2 linked regions of the Kluyveromyces lactis genome follow. The protein of the gene in region 2 interacts with the protein of the main gene of each other region in a pairwise test. Links are inferred from orthologs where the notes say so. Each region holds a gene or a part of one and is shown on either strand. Other genes may lie near its edges.

What was found.
Region 1: the proteins of KLLA0_F04323g (region 2) and MID2 interact in a two-hybrid assay, tested with the Saccharomyces cerevisiae proteins (2 studies listed by BioGRID, with this or other methods). The link is inferred for Kluyveromyces lactis from reciprocal best matches to the Saccharomyces cerevisiae genes PST2 and MID2.

What each region holds. Positions count from the first base shown.
Region 1 is NC_006037.1:281,230-294,535, reverse strand, and holds MID2 (Mid2p), read left to right. Parts: upstream 1-8,291; coding exon 8,292-9,308; downstream 9,309-13,306. Other genes in the region: MRPL11 (mitochondrial 54S ribosomal protein uL10m), read left to right, coding at 470-1,207; TRM8 (tRNA (guanine46-N7)-methyltransferase), read left to right, coding at 1,521-2,357; KLLA0_A03223g (uncharacterized protein), read right to left, coding at 2,501-4,534; KLLA0_A03201g (uncharacterized protein), read left to right, coding at 6,369-7,505; Ca(2+)/Mn(2+)-transporting P-type ATPase PMR1, read left to right, coding at 10,407-13,223.
Region 2 is NC_006042.1:404,778-417,387, forward strand, and holds KLLA0_F04323g (uncharacterized protein), read left to right. Parts: upstream 1-6,365; coding exon 6,366-6,962; downstream 6,963-12,610. Other genes in the region: KLLA0_F04257g (uncharacterized protein), read right to left, coding at 175-1,680; KLLA0_F04279g (MATE family efflux transporter), read left to right, coding at 2,734-4,185; KLLA0_F04301g (regucalcin), read left to right, coding at 4,654-5,670; RPI1 (protein phosphatase regulator REG1), read left to right, coding at 8,383-10,941; VPS54 (Vps54p), read left to right, coding at 11,337-12,610.

The sequences.
Region 1 (13,306 bases), on a different chromosome or scaffold from region 2:
ATGTTGACGATAGCAATGACAGTTTGCAGTTCGAAAAGAAGAGCAGAACTCACCAATTCCTCTATCATTTTAATTTGAACAGTCACGTGAATCGACCTTTGCCTCATTCGGGATTATATATACTATAAAGAAGATATATAAAAAATTACCAATATACATTTTTTGCTGCCATGGAAAATATACGAGAAAGTCTTCATTCCCTTCTCCATTGTTGATACCGATTTTGGCACTCATACCACTTCCAATTACCATTCATACCTTCTTACATTGAATCTAACTATGCCTCTCGTCGGTTTATTGTACCAAGTATTGAAATTCGACGATACTGAAAAATCTGAAAAAAAATGAAAAATCTGAAAAATCACTGAAGATTGATATATTGTAGTGAAGAGATATATTGGTGGGAATGAATTCGCTTAAAGTGATTCGAATCCACAGCTCAGGTCATCACCAACCACTCAAAATAGCCATGTTGTCACTTTTGTTAAGAAGCCCAGTGGTGGTATCCCGTGTCTCATATGCTTCTCCGTTTTTGGTTAGGAGGTTTGCCTCTACGCAAATTGAGAGAACTGTCTCGGATGCAGTTAGAAGAACAGTAAAGCCTTTGGACTCTCGTAAGACTTTCCTAATCGACTCTTACAAAAACCTGATGGAAACCAGTCCGGTAATGTTGTTTTGTCATCATAACAATTTGATGAAAGGGGAGAATGCACACTTCAGAGAAGAAATTAATAAGGTAGGAGGCAAGTTAACAATCTTGAGAAACAATTTGTTCCAAGTATACTTGAGAAACTCACGCAAAAATGACCCAGCTGCTCCAGCGAAACGTTCAGAACAAGACTGGAAGCATCCTTTACTGCCCTTGTTCAAAGGTCCTACGGCAGCAATTTCGTTCCCAGAGACTGATCCGGCAAAGGTAAAAAAAGTCATGAAATTATTGGAAAAAGCCCAAGACAAGTTATTCGTTATTGGCGCCAAAGTTGAAAATGATGCGTACGATTTGAGACAATTGGATTCTTTCAAGGATCTACCAACAAAAAGTCAATTACAATCAGAATTACTGGGACTATTGCACGTCTTGAGCGGTGCTGGTTTAGTTCAAACTTTAGAAGCTGGCTCAAACATGTTGTACCTAACTCTAAAGTCTCACGAAGATAATATTAACCCAGATAAGCAGAAAAACGAGAATGACAGCGAAGGAAATTAAAGTCTTTTGCCCCATCATGAAATGTAATATAAATCATTTTTACGTATCGATGTACTTAAATAAACCCATCACATATTAATATAAACTCCTGTACATATTCTTTGCACGTGACTTTTTTTGATCTCATTTGTATATTGTAAAGAAATAAAAAGTTTTTGAACATGCACTGAATCAATTGAGTCGAGAAAACCTAGGCGATGAGGTTACAATTTTTCAAAGCAGTTACTTCCACCAACCGTTAATGTGTGTTGAATAAACATAATTGAATTCTAACAGTGACTCAAATTTCCTATAACTGCCTTTGTTAGAAAATATGAGTTTTAGTACTAGACGCCAGGCGTATCGTGCTGAGAAGCAAGATCATCGCAAAGAATTGAAACATGTCAAGATCGATGAATCTGTGATTGAAAAGGTGGATAAACTATCTTTACCTAAAAAAAAGTTTTACAGACAAAGAGCACATTCGAATCCATTCAGTGATCATCAGTTGGAGTATCCAATAAGCCCAGCTCATATGGACTGGTCAAAATTGTACCCTCATTTCTACGATAGTGAAAAGAAGAAAATGACGAAAGATGTTACCATTGCGGATATCGGATGTGGTTATGGTGGTCTTATGATCGATTTATCTCCAGAATTTCCCGATGAAATGATCTTGGGTATGGAGATTCGTGTTCAAGTAACGAATTATGTCGAAGATAGAATTATTGCATTGAGAACCAACCACGCGAAGGAAAACGGATATCAAAACATTAATGTATTAAGAGGTAATGCAATGAAATTCTTGCCAAATTTTTTTAATAAGGGACAGTTGTCCAAGATATTTTTCTGTTTCCCAGATCCCCATTTCAAGCAAAGAAAGCATAAAGCAAGAATCGTCACTGATACATTACTAAGTGAGTACGCATATGTGTTGAAAGAGGGTGGTATCATTTATACAATCACCGATGTTCTAGATCTACATGAATGGATGGTAAAACACTTAGAAGAACATCCTCTATTCGAAAGGCTTTCTGAAGAATGGGAAGCACAGGATAAATGTGTAAGCATAATGAGAAATGCTACAGAGGAAGGTAAGAAAGTTGAAAGAAATAAAGGTGATAAATATATAGCATGTTTCGTAAGATTACCAACTCCAGATATAATCTAATATCTGTCGTATATAATACTACATATTACTTCGGGTACTATTCAAGAATATTTGTACAAAAACGAGTTAGAAAGTGAATACCTTAAGTACCTATAAAAGATGCATTATTGAAAACAAGCAGTTGAAAACAAGTGGCAATATCATTAGTTCGGAGGCTGATTATTGGATACGGCACCATACTCGATTTGGTTTGTATCATTGGTGCTCCGTAAGTTTCGTACCTTATTATATATCAAACAGACAGTCTCCGAGCCTCTTCTTATAAATTTTTTCAATGGTTTAGTTTGAGTTCTCTCTTCCTTCCATTGAAGAACCTGGGTCAATGTTGGTGGTTGTATCTCATCTTTATTAAACATGGATTGTGCATTCGAATAAACACTTTTGCGAGATCTCGTTGATGGTGCTACTTCTCCTCCACCACTTACTAGATGAGACTGTTGTTCTATTTCAGCGGAGGTCCCTGACTGGAAACTGAAGGTTGATGACCTGTCATCAAAAACAGAATCCATATCTTCTAATCTTAAACCAGCAGTCTCTGGATAAACTTTTAACACACACCAGAATGACAAGTAGCAGGATACAGTATGAATCAAGTACATTCTCCAATGGATTTTTTCTTGCAAGATAGGAGTCATGATACCTACTAACCAGTTAAACAGCCAGTTTGTAGCAGTAGAAGCAGATGCCATTGCAGATCTTGCCATTGCAGGCGCAATCTCAACAGGATATAGCCATGGGATTGGACCCCAACTGTAACCGAAAAAGGCATTAAAGATGATCACGAACACGACCACTAATCTTGGAGTGGCAGCAACATTCGCCCATAATGACATGGCTATTGCAAGCAAAGAAGTTCCCATTACCAGCGCCCCGGAGAGTAGGATTGGTTTTCTCCCCCATTTATCAACTAATTTCCATGGCAAAATAGTGGACAATATGTAAATGATGGAATTAATACCTGTCATCAACAAGGCCTCTCTACCAACCCATCCAGCTTGTTCAAAAACAAGAGGCGCGTAATATGATATAACGTTGATACCGTTTAATTGAGCAAACATTTGAGAGCTCATTGCAATTAGCATCCTGGTTCTATACCGTTTAAAAGCAAAACGTAACGATTTCTTTTCACCTTCCAGTCTTGATATGAGGACTGTTTCCTTGATCAGCTTATACTCCTCATGAGCTTTTGAATGCAAAACGTCACCATCACTATGTAAGTCTGCTATGACCACCAACCCTTCAATATCATGGTCGTGATTTAATAACCAACGGGGAGTCTCAACAATAACAAACGACCCTAAAAATAACAGCAAGCCCATAACACATTGAATGAACAAGGGTAATCTCCAAGAAGTATCTGATTCTATATAGGAGCACGCATAATCGACCCAAACACTAGACGCATAACCAACAATATTTCCTGTAAACTCAATGCAAGCCAATTTTCCTCTGTTATGTGGGGGGCTAATTTCTGATTGATAAATGGGTACAATGGTACTTAATAAACCAACACCAATACCACTAATGATTCTACCAAATATCATATGACCCATTTCCCATGAAAACGTCTGAACCAATCCACCTAAAATGAAAATTAAAGATCCATATTTTATAGTGAACCTTCTACCGAATTTTTCACCAATATTGGAGACTAGTAAGGAGGAAACAAGAGCTCCAATCTCAAGAATTGAGACCATAGTACCAATAGTTGCCGCAGTTGGGTTATTGAAATAAGTCTTGAAATATGGGCCAGTGATAATACCAGACATAACACCTTGATCGTAGCCAAACAAAAATACGCCTAGTGACACAAATATCGATGTGAAGTACAATAGAGTTCTTCCCGTCAAATAAGTATCCTTAACCTGTAAGTGATCAGTGTAGCTAGGTGGAATACGTTGTTGATCTAATGGTTGAACATTTGGAGGAATTACAATTCCGTTAGTTCCGCCAACGGCATTTGGAATGTTGAAACTGTTTCTAAATTGTAGCTGATCAGAATTCTTCAAAGCAGATTCCTTGAACAAAGATGGATTTCCCGGTTTCTGCAATTCCGGAGCACCTTTCTTGTCAGTGGTGTCCAAAGGTGATGGACTATTGTCATCCTCGATATCCGTATTGACGATACCCCTGGACGAATTTTTGTTATGCCTATCTTTATCGGTACTATCAGACATGATGACGATATTGGGAGGACAGGTGTAAAAAAAAGTCAGAAGACCAGCAGTATATTCAGCCGAGCCAAAGTGAACTATCGATTGAAAGAATTCAAGAGGCTAACTTTATTCGAGTAATGTCACGAGTCTTGCTTGCAGAGAGTATCTAAAGAACAAATTCCGGGGTAATTGAAATAGGAGAATCGAATGTTAAAGTAATAACGCTCTAAATTTCAGACCCTGGTCAGCAAAACAGCACTATCGGTGAAATTACTTTGCGAGATGTGAACGAAAAACAACCTATTAAGCGTAAACAGGTATGCCAGTATTGCCTATGCTATATATGTAATTTGAACAGTCAGTCATTCCAAAGTGACTGTTTTTCAAGATCATTACGTTTCTTATGGAAACTGAACTTTTTTGTTGTCTGGAATGGCGAAAAACAAAGCGTCGATGAAGAAACGTCATTTACACGTGATGGAAGGCCGTCCACGTGATCAAATTACCTTTCAGAGAAAAATAGTGTCCACGTGAAAGGAGCCATTCGGAAAGCCACCCTTGTTACCGTCAAGGTTCCTTATGATCTCACTTCGGGATGTTTCTTTGTTCAATAAGTGGAGATAACATTCTGACACGTTAACTCAAGACGCGAAATAGCAAATAATAGAGAAAAAGAAAAAATTAATACCGTCTTACGGAACAGCAATTGATGAGCACTAAGCCACTAAATGCCCGATTCGTCCAGACGTTTGCCACCCCAAATGACTTGGTGTATAGATGACACCAATCGGAACTACTGGTGCTGAAATATACAACTTATTTGCTCTTCCGTACGTGTTAGTTTTTACCTACCGTCCATTACTTCTTGTATTGTCGCTTCATCATGAATCATTTTTCTTTTTAGTTAGAAACCTGTGGACCTTTCCTTTTTTTTTCGCATCTTTAGACAAAGACATTTCGAAGCTTTCCTTTTAGATACCCGTCAGCGAAGATAATTACCATTAACAGCATGGTTAAATCCGGGCTATCGCTGTGGATATTTTTGAGTGCTCTCAGCCGTTGCTGTAGACCAGGAAATGTCTTTTAGCATTGTTCTTCATAGCTTTCCTTATCGAGTAAGTATACTCAGTAAACTTTCTTAGACAGGCCCTTGCACAAGACGTGGCTCATCGGAATTTCTTTCATAAGCACAACCTCATTCCGTATTTGTACAGCTAGAACGCTATTTCGAAGAATGGAACATGGAAAGATTTCACTTAGTACTAACTTTTCCAGATATGGTTATCGCACAGCTTTCAAATTCCGAAGCTCTTACCAATTCCGGAAATATCCTAAGGAATCTTTCCACCTTAAGCCAGACATTATAGCTCTCTCGCTGGTGTTGCAAATTCTCCTTCTCAATAATACTAAGTAGGTTTCTCCACGAAAACACTTATGGTTTGAGAGAGCGAATTGATGCAGTAAGTTTTTTCGTAGTCGTTCCTTTTTAAGAGCGCTAATCGTTTCTATTGGTTTCAAAATTTCTTTGTTCTTGTTACCATACGGTTACGAGATTGTTTCAACAAGAAACAATTCGGTCCACACACCAGTCTAAACGTTCCCACGATGAGATCTTCAGTAATGCTCAGCCATGAAACCTCATGGTTTTCGTCTGCGTTGGCGAGTTTATATAAATGTGACAATAGAATACTCAATGTCCTCCGTTTCAAGTTCAAACTGAAAGCTTGAGTAAGGCTATAACAACACTTGTTCTAAATAAGATCAAACCATAACATCAACAAGGCTTTAATTTGACGATTTCACTCCTTATTTTGCATTCACCCAGTTCAGATTAAGCTTCATACAATACACCGTCATGAGATTAAATTACGTTTTATCAAAGACCTTAGCTCTTGCTTCCGTTGTCTCTGCTGCTGCCGTTCATAAACATCACGCTGCTGAAGAAAAAAGAGACGTTACTGTCGTCGTAACAAATTTCGTTGATCAAAATGGTCAAGTCTTGGTTGACGGGCAAACAAGTGCGACAGATGCCACAACGACCTTGCAACCAGTTACTGATATTGGTGGTGGAAAAAGTGTTGAAACTACAACGGTAACGTCATCATCAGGTTCATCTAGTTCTTTATCGGGTTCCTCAACCTCTTCCTCCGGTGGAACCAGTTCTAGTTCTAGTTCCACTTCTAGCAGCAGTGACGCTTCTAGTTCAAGTTCTGGTGAATATGGTGGTGCTTTGGGTATCACTTACTCTCCATACACCAGCAGTGGTTCTTGTAAGTCTTCAGACACCATCAAATCCGACATTCAGAATTTGTCACAATTCAGTGTCATTAGAATCTACGACACTGACTGTGACGCGATGGAAGCAATTCTATCTCAATTACAAAGCGGTCAAAAGATCTTTGTTGGTATCTACGACATCGATAACATTGCCTCCAGCGTCAGTGCAATCGAATCTGCTTTCAACGGTGATTTCTCCAAGGTTTACGCTATTTCTGTCGGTAACGAACTGATCAATGCAGGAACGAGTACCGTTTCTCAACTGAGTAGCGCTGTTGAATCAGCTAAATCTAAATTGAGTGCTATTGGCTACACAGGTGACGTTGTCACCGTTGATACCCTAGTGGCCACCGAAAACAACTCTGGTCTATGCAGTATGTCAGATTTTATTGCAGTTAACTGTCATCCATACTGGGATGGTAATGTGGAACCATCCAACTGTGGACCATGGGTGAAACAGCAATTGGACAACTTGTCTTCTACGTGTAACAACGGCAAGAAAATCATCGTCACTGAAACTGGCTGGCCAACAAAGGGTGACACTTACGGAAGTTGTGTTCCATCCAAATCAAACCAAGAAACCTGTGTCCAATCCATCATCGACACTCTAGGTTCCCAAGCCATCTTATTCACCACATACAACGACTACTGGAAGGATGCCGGTGCTCAAGGTGTTGAGCAATATTGGGGTATCTTCGGCGATAGCAGTGTTTAGACAATTTAGCAACCCCCCTCAACTAAAACACGTATCTTCTCATTATCCTTCAGTTCTCTAACTACTCCGCAAGCTTTCTACATCAAGGTATATCTTTTGGAATTTTTATATATCTAGTCTCAAACCAAATCCGCTTTGAGAATACCTAGACCCGCATACGCTTAGGCATGTACATAGATAGAATATATAAGATCTAATTTCAACTGTGCTTCGAAGAACACGCAAGTTGAACTTAACAAACCCCGGAGAATAGGCAATTCATATACTTAAAGATTGGAGGCGCGGCATTTGTCCCTCAAATGCATGGTAACCATAACCATCAATCCATTCCAATCCAAGTGGAATCTGAATTCTAGACGGAGGTCTCGAAGAGACCATCATCTTCACCCATACTTACTGATCGCACGATCGTTTCTATGAACATTCTTTCTCGATCTCAATTCCGTTACGATGATCTGGAAAGAAAAAGACGGATTTTTTCGAAAAAAGACGTTTTATTTTTATTGTTTGAATTTTCCATTTTTTTTTTTTTTTTGGCGAAGCACCTTTCCTTTTGATCTATTTTGCTTGAATGATTTTCAGATCAAATATAGTATAAATAAAATGTGTTACATGTTAACAAGTACATGAGATTTAAACTTTGATCTGTAGTTTGTACGTTGCCTTTTTTTTTGCTCTGTATAGGTTGACTCACTTGTGCAGAGTGAATATTAGCTGGCACATCTTTTTCCATTTGGTTTAGAGAGGAGGAACAGTTGTTATTTCGATCTGATATATTGAGGAAATATGCAGTTTGTGATACCGCTGCTATTATTAGTCTCTGCGATAAAACCAGTTCTGGGTCAGCAGTCTGCGGCGGAAAATGACGGAGGGATAACGGCAAGCAACGGTACAACAAGTACACTATCTCCTTCCTCATCTTTGGCGTCTTCTTCCGAAGAGCAGTCGACGTTTACCGTTATTACTAGTTCGAGTGATGGGGAAGTAAGTAGCACGGAGGAACCCTTTGTTTCATCGTCTGAAGCCCCAGAAGAGACTTCGATGTCAGAAGTGTCGACGTCTTTCATTTCAACGGATATCTCATCTAGTTCTGAGCTTCCTTCTAACACCACTACTAGCAGTAGTAGCAGTTCTTCATCCGAGTCTTCCACATCATCATCATCTACCAGTTCAAGCACAAGCTCTTCTACCAGCACTTCTAGCGATCTGGATGAAACCACAACATCATCTGAAGAGGAGACAACTTCTACATCAGTGGAATCATCGTCTGATCCGACCACCACACATCCGCCGACCACCATCACTTCGGTGATCAACGGTGTCACGATTTTGAGCGATAGGTACACTACAGTTACTTTCACACCTACTAGTACCAGCGATCCCGACAGCAGAGAAGGCCAACACACGGGACTAAGCGACAAAAATAAAAGGATTGTGATCGGTGTTGTTGTAGGGTTGGGTGTCCCGATCTTGCTTGTATTATTGGCATTGATCTACATTTTCTGCATCAAACCAAAGAGAACGAACTTCTTAAACTCAGAGGGTAAAGTGGTGACCGCATACACTTCTGGTAAAGTGTCTAAATGGTGGAAAGCATTCATGGGTAAACAAACGGACGATTACGTGACGGAATCTCCGGAATCAGGTATCGATGAACCATCAGTGTTGGCGCCAACAAGAAATAATACTGTCGGTAGAAACAACACCGATGGCCATAGAAAATCTCATTCCAACGAACTGATGTTGGATGAAGAAAAATATTACGATGATGACGGTAATGAATTGAACGGTAGAAACTACTGATCACTGCTATATTCTTTAAACATCCAAAAAAATAAAACTAAACCTATCTATCATGGTGGTGTATGTCGACTGGGTCGTCCAATTTTTTTTTCTTCCTGCATTTTACAATAAAACACGGCATGGTGTACTCCTTGCATTTGAATTCATTTATCATTGCCGAAACATTTGACTAATCCCCCTAATTATAATTCTATTTCGACCCATTCGTTTCACATACACTCTAACTGCTATTCCGATCCCCTAAACCTTACTTTTAAAGAGTCCACCTATAGTGCATGCATATCAAAAATTAAAATTGTCAGATACTTCATTATACTGTGTAAAATATATCTAAAAAATGACAGAGAGAAAAAGAAAGCTTATATGTATTCTGGAGTTGACCGAATTTAGCTGAGCACACGTATCTACTGAGCTTCTTTCAATCATCACCTTGTCGGTCTTTTAACAGTGTCACAATGTTATAATCGTACCTAACCGGGTAACAAAGGTACTCAATCATCCTTTTTCCTTAGTTTTTTTTTTAATATTTACTGTCGCTACATAGTTAAGATCTTGACTTTTTAAGATATTCGATTCTTGAAAGTTTAATATCATTTCTTTTGTATGCCTTTGGATATCCAATTAGATTTAAACAAACAAAATGGCGCTCGCGGCTAATAGCATCAACTCTGATCTCCCTCTGTCATACGTTTCATTACTTCTACACACTTTCAAAGGTTACCGGGACGATGGCTTTCTGTTTAAATCTCCGTATATTAAAAACATCATGTTTTCTTTATTATATATATTAAAGGAAACGTTTTTCCACCGTAAGTGAAATTTTCAAAAATTCTCTGTCGAAATAAAGTACATCGTAGCCAAGAGAACAAAAAAAGGACAAGACCCAGAGACAGCAAGCGTCGGCGATTTGGACTTATACGTAAATTCTTTATTGGTTCTAATACGTTCTGTTTCTCTGCTTTGCAGTTGAAGTTATTGAGAAGCTTTATCACTATCTTTGTCGTTTTTTGCGTTTCCCTTACGCCAAATCATCATCTTAAAGAGAAACCGTTGGTGGCTTTGATATACTACACATCTTTTTACTGATCTGCAGCATATATGAGTGACAATCCGTTTGAGTCTTATCTCGCACGAGACCAGCAACCGCCACAGCCCGCTGTCGATGTGCTTTCGCAGCCTAATGCCTCACTAGAATATTGCACGGTGTCAGTGGAAGATACGATAGCACAATTAGGAACTGATTTCGATAATGGTTTATCCAATCCATCAGAAATTGCTTATAGGAAATCAATTTGGGGATCAAACGAAGTCCTACCTGATGAGAAAGTATCTCTTTGGAAAAAATTCTTGTCTACATTCATTGAAGACCCTTTAATTCTTTTGTTGATCGGATCTGCAGTTATATCTTTCTTAATGGGAAACATCGATGATTCCATCAGTATTGCTCTGGCCATCATCATTGTTGTTACCGTCGGGTTTGTACAAGAATATAAGTCAGAGAAGTCATTAGAAGCATTAAACAAGTTAGTCCCAGCGGAATGTCATTTGACAAGATCAGGGCAGTTATCCCATGTTCTTGCGTCAAACTTAGTTCCAGGTGATTTGGTCAGATTTAAGGTCGGTGATAGAATTCCTGCTGATTTAAGAATTGTAGAATCTATCGATTTGTGCGTAGATGAAAGTAATTTGACAGGTGAAAATGAACCAGTACACAAGAGTTCTGGTGCAGTGGACCCTAAGAACTACTCTCATATACCTGGATCCATTATTCCAGTTGGCGATAGAAACTGTATCGGATTTATGGGTACTTTGGTCAGAGAAGGCCATGGTAAGGGAATAGTCATTGCCACAGGCAAGCATACTGTTTTTGGTTCTGTCTTTGAAATGATGAGTGGTATAGATAAGCCAAAGACTCCATTGCAGACAGCAATGGACAAATTGGGTCAGGATTTGTCCTACATGAGTTTCGTTTTGATTGGTATTATTTGTTTGATTGGTATTATCCAGGGTAGATCATGGTTGGAAATGTTCCAGATCGCTGTTTCTCTAGCGGTGGCTGCTATCCCTGAAGGTTTACCAATTATTGTTACTGTTACTTTGGCCCTAGGGGTCTTAAGAATGGCTAAACGTAAGGCTATTGTCAGGAGGCTTCCAAGTGTTGAAACTTTGGGTTCTGTAAACGTTATTTGTTCTGATAAGACTGGTACTTTGACCGCAAATCATATGACTGTTTCAAAGATTTGGTGTTTGGGCAGTATGGAAAATAAAACTAATTGTTTGGCATTATCTAAGGTGAAAGAAAGACCGATTAAAATGGAGCAAGATGTTGCTACCACTTTGAGAATCGGTAACATTTGCAATAATGGGACCTACTCCCAGGAACATCTTAAATACCTTGGTAATCCAACAGATATTGCCATCTTAGAGTCATTACAACATTTTGGTATAAATGATTGCAGAAACTCCGTCAACAAGATTAACGAAATCCCTTTCAATTCGAAGAGAAAATTTATGGCTGTCAAAACTATCGATGCCAATGATAAAGTGGTAGTATACGTGAAAGGTGCTTTCGAAAAGATTGTTGAGAAATCCATCAACTACATTGGCAGAGACGGGAAGGTGCATAAGCTGAAACCAAATGATAAAGCCATCATTAACGATGCAGCTGTTGCACTGGCTTCTGAAGGACTTCGTACACTTGCTTTTGCGGAGCTGGAGGTGAGCGCCACCCATGGTGACAAAGAATTCAATGAAGACATGGTTGAAGGCTTAACATTTACTGGTCTAATTGCTATGAATGATCCACCTAGGCCGACAGTCCGCAGTGCCATTGAAGAACTACTCCAAGGTAGCGTACATGTTATTATGATCACAGGTGATGCTGAAAACACTGCTGTTAGTATTGCTAGACAAATTGGAATTCCTGTCATCAACCCTGAATACAGTGTGCTTTCAGGTGATAAGCTGGACCAAATGACTGATGACCAATTGGCTAGTGTTATTGATCATGTTAACGTGTTTGCTCGTGCTACCCCTGAACATAAGTTGAACATTGTTCGCGCCTTGCAAAAGCGTGGTGATATTGTAGCAATGACTGGCGATGGTGTTAATGATGCACCTGCCTTGAAGTTGGCAGATATAGGTGTGTCTATGGGTAAAATGGGAACTGATGTTGCCAAAGAAGCCTCTGATATGGTTTTAACCGACGATGACTTCAGTACAATTTTAACTGCCATTGAAGAAGGTAAAGGTATTTTCAATAATATTCAAAATTTCTTGACTTTCCAATTGTCTACCTCAGTTGCTGCTCTTTCGTTGGTCGCTATTTCGACTTCTTTGAAACTACCAAATCCTTTAAATGCCATGCAGATTCTTTGGATTAATATATTAATGGATGGACCTCCAGCTCAGTCCTTAGGTGTTGAGCCTGTCGATCATGAAGTTATGAGAAAACCCCCAAGAAAAAGGACTGACAAGATCCTAACTGACGCTGTCCTCAAAAGAGTGTTGATTAGTGCATGTTTTATAATTGTTGGAACAATATATGTCTTTGTCAAGGAAATGGCAGAAGATGGCCAAGTTACATCAAGAGACACAACTATGACATTTACCTGTTTTGTCTTTTTTGATATGTTTAATGCCTTGTCTTGTAGACATGCAACGAAATCCATCTTCGAGATAGGATTCTTTGCAAACAAGATGTTCAACTATGCTGTGAGCTTATCTCTTTTAGGACAATTATGCGCCATTTATATACCATTCTTTCAGGGTATTTTTAAGACAGAAAGTCTTAGCCTGGGAGATTTACTGTTCCTCTTAACGTTAAGCAGCAGCGTTTTCATTGGTGATGAAATCAGGAAATACTATGTCAAGAAAAATAGATACTTGGACTCATATAGCTCCTCAATTGTTTAATTGGTCTGATAAAAAGTTATATATTTCATGTATTCATGTATATTAAATTGCAACGAGCATTTATATGTTACTAGTTATGGTAA
Region 2 (12,610 bases):
TTGCATGGGATATGTGAAAGAATGTTTCCCATAAACAATAAGCGTGCTTGACGGAAGGAATTAGGTGACGACGGGTCGTATATACTTTGAGAGAACTAAATGAAATAGATTTTAATTGGAGATAGTTTAGATAAGAGATAAAACAGGCTTGAATGGGGTAGTAATTCCATGGTTTCAAATACTGTTGTCAGCACAACTGAAGACCGTACCATAAGCATTCGCCTGGAAATTGTAAATGATACTTTGAACGGTAGCGTATAGGCCTGGTCCCAGAACGTAGACTCCGAAAAGTATAAGGAATCCCGCTATGTAGAAACGAATTTTTTCTCCTTTATCCAAACATGGATAAGGATTAGTCTTTTCATATTTAGTTTGCTTTACCCTTAGGTATGCCATACCCCAGAATACAAATCCGAACCAGCAGGCGAACAAGGAACACATCAAAGATAATAGATCTGAGAAGAAAGGAATCACTTCTGCAACAATAAAGGCAACTATCCAAGTTAACACGATTATTCCGATCCAACTTAACCACCCGATAGTGGTATGAGAGTGCATGTGTTCTGAATTTTTGAAGACCTTGAAGAAAATGAATCTGGTTGTTATGTTAGAATAGAGAGACCCCACGAAAATGATGGTAGGCACTGCAAAAGAGTATGCTATAATCTTGTATTTTCTCGTTAAGGACCCATATGCAGGGGTGGTCATGTATTCATTACCGATATAATAGTACATTACAGCACCTGTTATTGAATAGATGACAACTTCGATTGCAGTGACAAGCAAGAACACCTTCTTGAAATCCCTCGGTCTTTTCATTTCTGAGATGAACTGTGGATAAGTGACTTGAGCAGCGAAAACGTACACAATGTTCAAAAATGCACCCATTGCATCTACATAACTTGTGCCCTTCTGTGGCCATAAACTGAATGTCAAATGAGTACCATCATAACCAACCGGGTGATCCTGGATTCCTACAAAGATGATAGCCAGTATTACCGAAATGAACATGGTAATAGCTGAGAAGTATGCAACTTTAGACATAGAGGCGAAGGTTCTTGGGATAGAAAACACAAAAGAAATGATTGCGGTAATGACACCAAATGCAACAGTACAGGTAGAGTGATTTGTGATGGTATTAAGGTACTTACCACCGACTAAGACATGCACACCCTGGATAAGGGTATTGTTGGCAACGTAACAAACAGCAGTTGCATACCATGCAAAATTACTTCCCCAAAATAAATGCTGTCCGATGTCACACGCATTTTTAAGATGAGGGAACTTTTCGCAGTAGTCTAAAATGATAAAACTGGTGTATAACACAACACCAGCAACAAACACCGTTAAAATAAGACCCGGTATTAAACCTAATACTGAATAGGACCATGGGAAAGACATCATGGCTAAGATGATGTATTCTGATAACATTAGACCTGTAATATGCTGCCATGAACTAGTCTTGTATTTAATCTGATGACCTTCTTCATCGCTTTCTTCAAAAGCATCACGGTAAGATAGGCTAGTATCATCACCGTACTGTTCAAATTCACCATCTTCCACATCGTGATTCTTGACGCTGGGTGTCTTGATCATCGTCTTATCCACCTCATAATTGTAAAAGGTCTTCCCACTCTCAGAGCCCTCAGGCTTACTTCCAAATGAACTCATCTCGATCATTATAATAGCTTGATTGCCGTAACTTTCTGTCACTTATAGGTGAAAGAGGGGAGATATTGGAAGATAGACGGTAGATTGGCCTTAAAGAGAAGAAATGTAGGTATTCTTACTTGATTTTTTCTAGCGATTCTTACTCCGATTGTGGTTGATTTGAGTCTTGAACCGGATGTTATCAAGTCTTGACAAGTAAGGTTGAGCTGAATATGGATTGTTAGTGTTAATGTTTTCCGGTATTATATTATACATTTATTAGCAGCTCGAGATGAAGGAAACATGCATGAAGCTCATCGACCAAGTGATTAGCTTGCCTATTTTATATGAAATATCGTTTTCCTTCAATCCTTTATCTCCCATGCATTCCTAAAGAGAGATAAAGTGGAGAGATTAACGTTAAGCACCTGCTTGCTATCTAGTTTGGAGTAACAGTTCATGATGTGTATTAAAGCCAGGATCTGCTATCAACAGCGACCTCAAGTTTTAAGTTTTTAGATTTCATCACAAAGCAAAATGATACCTAATATGGAAATATTTTGCGTGAATGTGAGAATTGTATTCCGAACCATTTTAGACTTTTTTATACCTCGACGATCTGCATGATCAGTGGAATTTCTCTGTTTATCTGCACGATAAGAAGAATAGCTATTCTGTTTTGTCGGCGCATTAGTGCCTGATTTCGATACCCCATTCGGGCCACTTTGTGTGGATGTTCTTTACTCAGTGAAGTGCCATATCAAGTCATTTCCCTTTATGGTGATGAAAAAAAAAAGGATTGGTACGTAAATTTGATGTCTGCTCTTGATGTTTGGTTTTATTTAAAGGAAGGATGAAGAAGTAATCACATTGTTATCTTTTACCGTTAGCCAGTAGTTCTGTAACGGCGTCTTTCATCGATATTTCATCGCTGGTCGCTGTTCTAGAGAAACGATGAAGCAATAGTGTAATATCGGTATTACTCTTATATTTAATACGTTCTTCAAATTGTGATAGAAAGTATCAGGATTGCCTGCCAAGAAAGCTTCTAGAGATACAAATAGAGTCTTTAAATATTTATGAATGGTACCAGGTGAAGACTCTTCATTAATTGCCCATAGAGGAGGCGATAGCGGATACAATACAGTGGAATCCTTGAAAAAGGATGGGGAAACGAGCTTAGAGTATGAGTTCTGGTATATGACTAAGACCTCCATCCCATTAATCATTACGTTTCTCTTGCAATGTTCATTATCGTCCTCAGCTTTGGTTTTCGCTGGAAGGGTTGGGACTTTAGAAGTTGGAGGGATTTCGATCGGAAATGTCACTTTCGCGGTCACTTCGGCTATATTTATCGGTATTGCAACATGTTTGGATACGGTTTGTCCTCAAGCGTATGGTGCAGGTAAGTACAACATGGTGGGACTGTATTTCCAAAGAGGTGTTGCCATTTCTTTCCTATTTGCCGTTCCGGTAATTGCATTTTGGTATAATTCAGAGTACGTTTTATCGTTTCTAGTGGAGGACGCTGACGTTGTCCATATCGCCGCTGTTTATTTGCGTATCATGATTCTTAGTCTTCCCGGCTATATCATATTCGAATGTGGTAAGAAGTACTTACAAGCTCAGGGAGATTTCGTAACTGGACAAAACATTCTGTTTGTCTGTGCACCATTGAACATATTGTTGAATTATTTATTTGTTCTAAAGTACAAATTTGGCTACATCGGATCTCCAATTTCTATGGTGCTGTCTTATACTCTTATGGGGCTCACAATTGTTGCATACATCTGTCGTCAAATATATTTTGGTAATTCTTCCTGCTGGCATCCGATAACTGGGAATTTCTCGGCAATTTTCAAGAATTGGGGTCCCCTTATTGCTTTAGCGCTACCAGGTTTGATCATGATCGAAGCTGAGTTTTTTGCTTTCGAGATCATCACTGTTTTAAGCGCGAAATTCGGAACGGAAGTCTTAGCTGCACAAAGTATTGTAGCGACCTTACAAACGTTTTTCTTCCAATTACCCTTCAGCTGCAGTGTGGCTGCTTCCAATAGAATTGCCTATCACATTGGTTCTGGAATCACGGAAAACTGCAAGACAGCGACGAAAGCAACTATGTTTGGGGTTGGTCCTGCTGCAGGAATAATAAATTTCACAGTGTTGTACTTCGGTCGTTACAAGTTATGTTCTTTGTTTAATGCGGACCCGGTTTTGGTAAATAAAGCTGCAGGATTACTCTGTGTCGTCGCATTAAATCAAATATATGATTGCTTCAATGTCATGGCTGCAGGTGTCTTGAGAGCTCAGGGAAGACAACGAATCGGTGGGTATTTAAACATAATGGCGTACTATCTAGTTGGGCTTGAAGTCGGTATTTTATTAGCGTTCAAATTCAAAATGGAAGTGCTCGGGTTCTGGATAGGTATCGGGGTAGGTGTCCTCTTCCTAGCTATTGGCGAGAACTATTTCGTTTACATATCAAACTGGAGAAATATTATTAGCAAATCGCAAGACCTACGCCATGAAGCGTGATCATTGACAGATTATACTGTTTTTTAAATACAGATCAAAAAAAATCAGAGAAAATATTCTAGTTCACTAGCAATTATTTAACTGGGCCTTGTATTTACATATATAGGTAAGGATACGTTCTTCTTAAGAAACTTCTTCGTGTTGATTATCATATTAGGCCGGAACTAATTATTGCCTGTTTTTCCGTTTTTCCGTTTTTTCCGATTCCTTCGTTGTTTTCCTTCAGCCAGAAACTCCAACAAAGATGCAAACATCTTCTCAAAATAAGGGTATATATAAGTGGTAAAAGAATCATGCAATTGAATAAGAATAAGAATTCGCTAATGAAAGAAATTGATCGGATATAATTAGAGTTTGACCATTCGGAAGAGAGTGTTTTTCAAATTGATTGTATTCTCTTCTCAGTGTGAGCGAGAACCATAGTCGAAAAGTGCATTGAGCCTGTCAAGAAAAATTATAAAGAAAGCAATGACCGAAGTAACGGAAACTGTTCATAAGAATGGACCATACTATTTCGATAGTAAGATCAGACTATCAGAGGGTATCAGCTATGCAGCTGAATCCAAGGCGCTCTTCTGGATTGATATCTACAATGCCTACATCCATAGAGTGACTGATATTGACGATATTTCAACTCATACTGTATGGCATGCATCAGTTGATAACTATGAGGGCTTGTACCCATTTACTACTGATCTACCAGAACGTATTGGAGCTATTTTCCCAATTGATAGAGCAGATGGTGTTGAAGAGGTTTATTTCGGTGCTAAATATGGGATTGCCAGAATGAATTACACCACTTTGAGATGGCAATACTTGGTTCACTATAGTGACAGCGGATTGCAGAAGGATTGGACAGGTTTACGATCCAACGATGGGAACGTCTCTCCAGATGGAGAAATATTCATCGGTATTATGAACGATTTCCATTGTACTGTTGATTCAGAGGACCCAAAGGGCGCACTACTAAAAGTGAACCTCCGTGAAAACATATGTGAGTTGGTAATAGATAAATTGATGATTCCCAATGCAATCAATTGGAGCCAGGATGGTACAACGGTATATTTCACTGATTCTCTAAACTTCTCGATTTACAAGTATCCGTACCAAGACAAAAATCTCATCGTGGAGGACAAGGCATTATTCATTGATATTAAGAAGTTCAATTCCCAATTCGATTCACCTGAACCTGACGGCAGTTTCATCGATCCCGATACGCACAATATCATCACAGCGGTATGGTCTACGAGTACGGTGCAAAGGTACGATACCAAAGGAGATCTAATCCACAAATGGACGTTCCCAGAGACCAATCGAATCTCTGCATGTACCTTGGCCCAAGGTCACATGTTTGTTACCACAGCAAACGAAATCATTGAAGATAACGCAAGTCCAGAGGGCCTTGGTGGATCCATCTTTAAAGTAGAGAATGTCTCGACTTATATGGGGTCCTCAAAGAGGAACCCGATTACGGCAGAGCATTAGAAGCCCTTATGATGCACGTGACATGTAAGGAGTTTGCGTTTTCAATCCCGTGATCCCCAGTTTTTCAATTTATCATATTTTACTAAGTATTAACAAACTACTGACAAAGCACTGACAAAGAATTTATAAACATAGAATAACTTATGAATGTTTATGGTTTATACGACAGCGAAACAACTATCAACTTACATAGTGTTTGTAACGTCTTAATTAAGGTGCCTTAATTGGCTGACTTTTCATTATGACAAATTATATTCGCATATTTGAGATTTATAAAATTTACTAATCTATAGCGTACTTTTGCCGTAATACTATATCTTCCTCTGAAGAAATTGAGAACAGGGTGATCAGAATTGCTCATATAGATTATTAAGTTTAAGTAAGGCTTATTGGCCCTACTTACTATGTCTATTATTAATTTTAGGTTATTGATTTGTACACCTACACCTTTTTCTGGGCCCCTTCGAACCTTTTTTTTTTTACAGTCTTCCCCTTTCTTACATGGATTGAAACTTTCAGTTTCAGGCACTATATAAATATAACTAAGGTAAAAAAGGAAATTAAGGAAGCCTTCTGCAGTTAAAGGGTTCAATTATAATAAGTTTAGTAGCTACAATTCTTTCCATCTCTTTCCTGAAAACCTCGAGAATTACTCATTCACTCACCCTAATATAACTCGGAATTATCTAACAAAAATGGCTAAGGTTGCTATTATCATTTATTCTATGTACGGCCATGTTGCTAAGACTGCCGAATACGAAAAGAAGGGTATCGAAGCTGCCGGTGGTTCAGCTGACATCTATCAAGTACCAGAAACTTTATCCGAAGAAGTCTTGAAGTTGATGCATGCTCCAGCCAAACCAGACTATCCAATTGCTTCTAAGGACACTTTGACGGAATATGATGCTTACTTGTTCGGTGTTCCAACTAGATTTGGTAACTTCCCAGCTCAATGGAAGGCTTTCTGGGATACCACTGGTGGTTTGTGGGCCAGCGGTGCCTTGCACGGTAAGGTTGCCGGTTTCTTTGTTTCTACCGGTACTGGTGGTGGTAACGAAATGACTATTGTCAACGCTTTGTCCACTTTAGCCCACCACGGTATCATTTACGTCCCATTGGGTTACAAAAACGTTTTCGGTGAATTGACAAACTTAGACGAAGCTCATGGTGGTTCTCCATGGGGTGCTGGTACCATTGCCGGTGCAGATGGTTCCAGAACACCATCTGACTTGGAATTGAAGGTTCACGAAATCCAAGGTAAGACTTTCTACGAAACTATCCAAAAGTTTTAGAATACAAAATACTCTCTCTATATGATACATAACAGTAAGATTTGGCAGATCCAGCATGTGCTTTGCACCGTGCCAGAGTACTAGAAAAAAAATATCAATCCGAAGTTTTCTGGCAGGTCTTCTGGCAAGCTTTTCGGCTTATATAACATGTATCCTACTGACATTCACGGTAACTGGTACTGTCAAATTTAATAAAAAGAGAGTAGATGCCCGCTCCGATCATGCAAGATGACTATATAATGTGTCTCGACATATGACAAGAATCGATGACACCACTATTGACTGAATCAGTGTATGGTATAGATCAAGGTAGAACTCATGTAAAATCCAGAACTGACCAAAGTGACAAAAATGAACAAAAAAAAAAAAAAATTTGTCCTGCTAAACAACGGATAATCCCTTGAAATTTAGTTGGCCCCTGGGCCAACTGAAATGTTCCAGTTCCCGTTTCATCTTCGACAAACTCAAAACGCTCCGCTACCGTGCGATTTTCTTTTCTCGCTATACATGTATAACTTGGGAAGTTAGAATTTCCAAAAATTGAAATGAATAATTAACTTGGAAACCAGCTCCATTAAAAAAAGCTAGGAGTTGTATTTCCTCAGTAAATTAATAAATTCAAACACAACAGAATATAGCGTCCGCCATACTAGGATCGGTTTATACTCTATTACCCTGTAACTTTACTTACATGTCTAAACACGGTCTGTTGTAAGACGTAAGCACCAAAGCGTCATAGACAAATTTTGCCTCCTTTTCGATCTTTTCTATTGAACAATACTGGCAAGCGGTACTCATTATTCTGTTTTCGTTTTTCTTTTTGGGAATTTAGTTTGGTTTCCTTTTCTTTTGGACTTTGGTTTGAGCTTTCAAATCCACTTTTTAAAAAGAACAAAGAACATATAGAACATATAGAACATATAGAATGTAAAGGTTTGGGGGAATAGGAAGAAGAGCAGGTTTAAGTGTGTATTCTGATTGCCTCGTTCGACGATTTTTGTTTTGTGCTAAGCATTTTCAGTGATAGTTACAATCTGCTTTAACAGAGAGAGAGTCCTTTATTTTTCCTGAAGCGATTTGTGGTATAAAGGAGAGTTAAACGATAGTGTGATTTTTCTATTTGGTCTACTTTCATTAGGCAAAATCAGATTTCTCACTATACTACTGTTGGACTGAAGGATAGCGTCTGATAACGCTTGATACCCTAGGCTTCTTTCGTTGTCTGGTTCTCAGTTTTATTTTATTTTATTATTCCATTAATTTTTTTGGATCGCAGGAATCACCTTCTACCATCCAAGCAGAGCTTACTTGATATAATTCAACCTAGCTTTTTTACTGCGTGATACACACGCGGTTGAACAAGACAGCAGAGTATAATATTCAGAAGGTTTTACCAGATAAACACAGCACGCTTTGCATTATGCAGAATAATTTAGCGGCGTATTTTGCTCAGGGGAATGCTTCTCAGGGGAATGCTACCCCGGGTAGAGTCGCATTGAACAGAAGCTCATCGAATGATGAATACGGAACAAGCAGTGTAAATAAACAAGTCCCAAATTACGACGATATGGGTCCTTCTGTGTCTATGGCGGTTCATGCTGATGACGACGACCATTTCAAGAATTCTACGTTCAATTTGAAAAGAACACGATCCATGGGACTGTTGGATCCATACATCGACGATACTCAGAAACTTCTGGCAGGTTCGAGCTCTGTTGATTCCGATAACTTCTCTAACAGTAACATCGATGGCTTGAGTAACGACCTCAATAGTGGTGACAGTAGCGGGAGCATGAATAATATTAACAACAACAACAACAACAACAACAACAACAACAACAACAACAACAACGACAACGAAAACAAAACTGATAATATCAATAAAAACAGTAATAATACTTCTTATAATGACGATAACGACGGTAATGATACTACGCTTAATGACACCGGGCTGAATAAACACAATACAACTGTTGGCGGAACCGACGAAGACTACACAGACGAAAACATGCAAGTCGATAACTACGACGATGACTACGAAGCAGATTACGATTACGACTACGACTACAAAGATGTAGAAGATTCTAATTCTCCTCCAGACCCGGGTACTGACGATTTCCTAATTCATCATGATGACAACGACTTGATGTATGAACCCAATAGACATGTGGATTACTTATCTCATAAATGGAACGAAAACGAAATATCTCAGTCATGGCGTTATATCATTTTGAAAAAGAAACGGAAGGACACAGATTTAATCAATGCTGCAAGGTTGGAAAATGCTTCCTGGAGAACTTGGTCAAAGGCTAGAAATAATCTGAAAACTGTGAATCCAGAATCTTTGAACTGGTCAAAGGATTCTGATGTAACTTGGTTATACGGTCCGATTGTAGTGGGCGATCAAAATAACTCGACGTCGTCATCAAAGCCCACTTCCAACGTTGAAATAGGAAACAATCATGCGGCCACCATGGGGTATGGTTCCGATGATGAAAATTCAAAAAGGTTGATCCAAAAGTCTCAGAGTCCCGGTCCTAAACCTATTCTAAAGAAGAGAACTGTTAGTGAAATTATCGAGGAAAACTCCAAATGGAGATTAGATATAGCAAGGCAGCACAGAAAGCAAACTAGTGACTTGCATGCTATTTTGGATCCGCAGTCAAGTCAGACAACGCATGACGATTATGATGCTATTGCCGCGAAGGTGAATGCACAATATTACAAAAATATCCATACACCGCCTGATGAATCGGTGGAATCTATTTCGCCCGTTGTGACCGAAACAAACTCGTCGATAGTAAATACCACTCCAGGTCCAATCTCTGGCTCTGTGATAGAAACCCCATCCGCAAGATCTGATCCTCCCATATTATCATCGATTCTTACATCATCGATGAAGCAAAAGCAAAAAAGGGAAAGACATATTCATTTCAATGACCGTGTCGAACAATGTATTGCGGTTAATCATAACCCCATAGACGCTAATCCTAATGATGACGAAGTCCCAATGACAAATACCGATTACCACTCTGACGATATGTCGGACGGTGCCAGATCTTCGCATCAGTATTCTGACTTTGACGATGGATATAGAAATTCAGGGGCCAACAGCGTCGAAGATTACGCCGATGACGAAGATGATGAAGACGCTGACAGCTACGATTATGATGAAGATGACGACGAAGATGACGAAGATGATGGGTTATTTATCAGTGCACATACTAGAAAAAATCGAACCAATTCGGGGGCTAGTGATGGCACAGATGTTGCAAATTCTTTAAGATCACTCTCACTATCCAAATTTCCAAACGCAACTATTAAACCACTTCCAGCCACTACTCTAAACTACGGATCTGACGATGAATATTATGATGAAGACGAAAATGAATGGTATTATGGTAACGCAGTATCACACAATGTGAATACTAGCAGAGGATTTGACTACATGTATGATTATAATTCCGTTTACACGGGGGATACATCCAACTTTGTAACTGTGGACAATTCGTGTGATATCCTCGATGTACCGGATGGCATTGGATTAGATACTCCAATACAGGACGCGAATGACGGATATATGGATGATGACTCAAGAGGGAAAATATATACATACCATCAAAGCCTTCCGGTACAAGATGATAACGATGAACATCCGGACAACGAATTCATCGCAGATTCTTCCCAACCTGGTTTCAGTCATGATGACGAAGAGCATGACGATAACGGTGAAGAACTAGAGCTTACTGCAAAAGACCCACTATCATTAAGGCGAACCTCATCTATAGGGAAGTCTAGAGCAAATTCCATTCATGATTTTATCACACCTTCCAATTCTGCATCTCCTGTTTTAAAACAGACACATAGCTTCATCACTGGAGAACCTTTATCTCAACACAATTCGACGGTAAGAAGACCACCATTAAAATCTCCTTCATCGGGTAGCTTTTTATTTGGATCTGATTCTGATTCTGAGTGATCGCTCAAGTGCTCTTAGGTATATTCGGAGTTCATTTTTTTTATTGAGGTTAAACTTAAAAATACCACTCTACCAGCATATATATTTTTTTTTCACTACGTAAATAGTATTAATTAGAAGAACAACAATTTTTCTTGGTTTTATCCATCTGCGTAGATCTCTCGCTCAGCGCTTAATGCTTCTATTGATTAACTTGCTACGGTGTTTTATTTATGTTGAGAGAGTGCGCTTAATTATATACTCAAACTACCATGTTCACTTTCTTTTAGAAGTATCATTGAATATGTAAAAACTGAAAATCGATTAAAGTTCATATTGTAAACAGATACATACACCTTTAAGATGCATAGCAAAGAAAAAGCTGTTCCAACAGACTATAAACCAGCGAGTTAACTATGCCGGATAGGTTACTGGGAAGTGAGACACCAGCTCTATCTCTAACTCCTGATAGTAGGACGCAATTAAGTCGATCTCCACTATTGGTGCCCAGTCATGCCTCAGATGATGCTAGCTCGTTGAACGATGATCTATCTGTATTATCTAGAAACAGGGATCAAATAAGGGACAGTATGTCTATGAGGCGTAGTAGTTTTGATTCCACATTCAATTCTTTTTCTACAACGATGCATACCCAAAAACACGGTCTTGATTATTCACCGTTGGTTGATAATTCAATATATGAAATTGTGATGAACACCAGATTTAAAAGATGGTTGCGGCACCCAACCACCGAGGATATTCCCCCTGTAGTTCTAAGCAAGAACGATATTAAGGATAAATGGGACAAGGATATTAATCAATACAGAGATGACATTAAAGACGAATATAGGGTGTATCAATCGACAAATAATATATCAAAGTTGAACCGAATGGAGCAAATGAGATCTATTGATCATGATAAAACTGCCCTTGGATTGCAAAATACGAAAGCCAAGGCATTTGAAGAAATACCTGAATTCTATTTTGATAAGGAGTTCAAATTAGATCACCCCAATTTCTTTCGAATGCTTCTACGAGATTTTGAGTTTGATGCCAATCAACTACTAAATGATGATGATAAAGTTAGAAATGACAGCTATGAAGAGCTTCAAGGAAGATTGGCATTCTACTTAGATACTGTTGAGGGACTCCTTGTTTCTGAAATCTCCAAGTCTATACAAAGCTTTTTTGACGCTTTGGAAGACGTCGATAAGATTAGAGAAAATGCGACAGAGACAATCAACGAGTTGGATTCTGCTGCTGAGGCCCTTGAGAGGATAAATGGGGATAAAATCTCAAAAAGAATTGAGATGATTAAAGATCTCATAAGAAGGAAAAATGTGGAAAAGTTACAACAGGGGATCCTACAAGTAAAACTAGCGAAAGAAAAATGTGAAGAATGTAAAGAAATATATCAAGAAGAAAAACTACAAGAGTGTTTGAAATTGGTTAAAGCAGTTGAGAACTTAATAAATGGTGACAATGATGATCCCACTGTCAATGATTGGACCTCTCAGTGGCCGTACAAACTCACAAACATCTCAAGTTTTTCTAGTTTACAGGGCATAATAGACATGCTAAATAATCTGAAGGTTGACATCGGGGGATCTTACTCATTGAGTCTGGTTACCGTACTATTGGAAGATTTGAGGACGTATTCGAAGTCTCAATCGAAAAATGACACGATCAT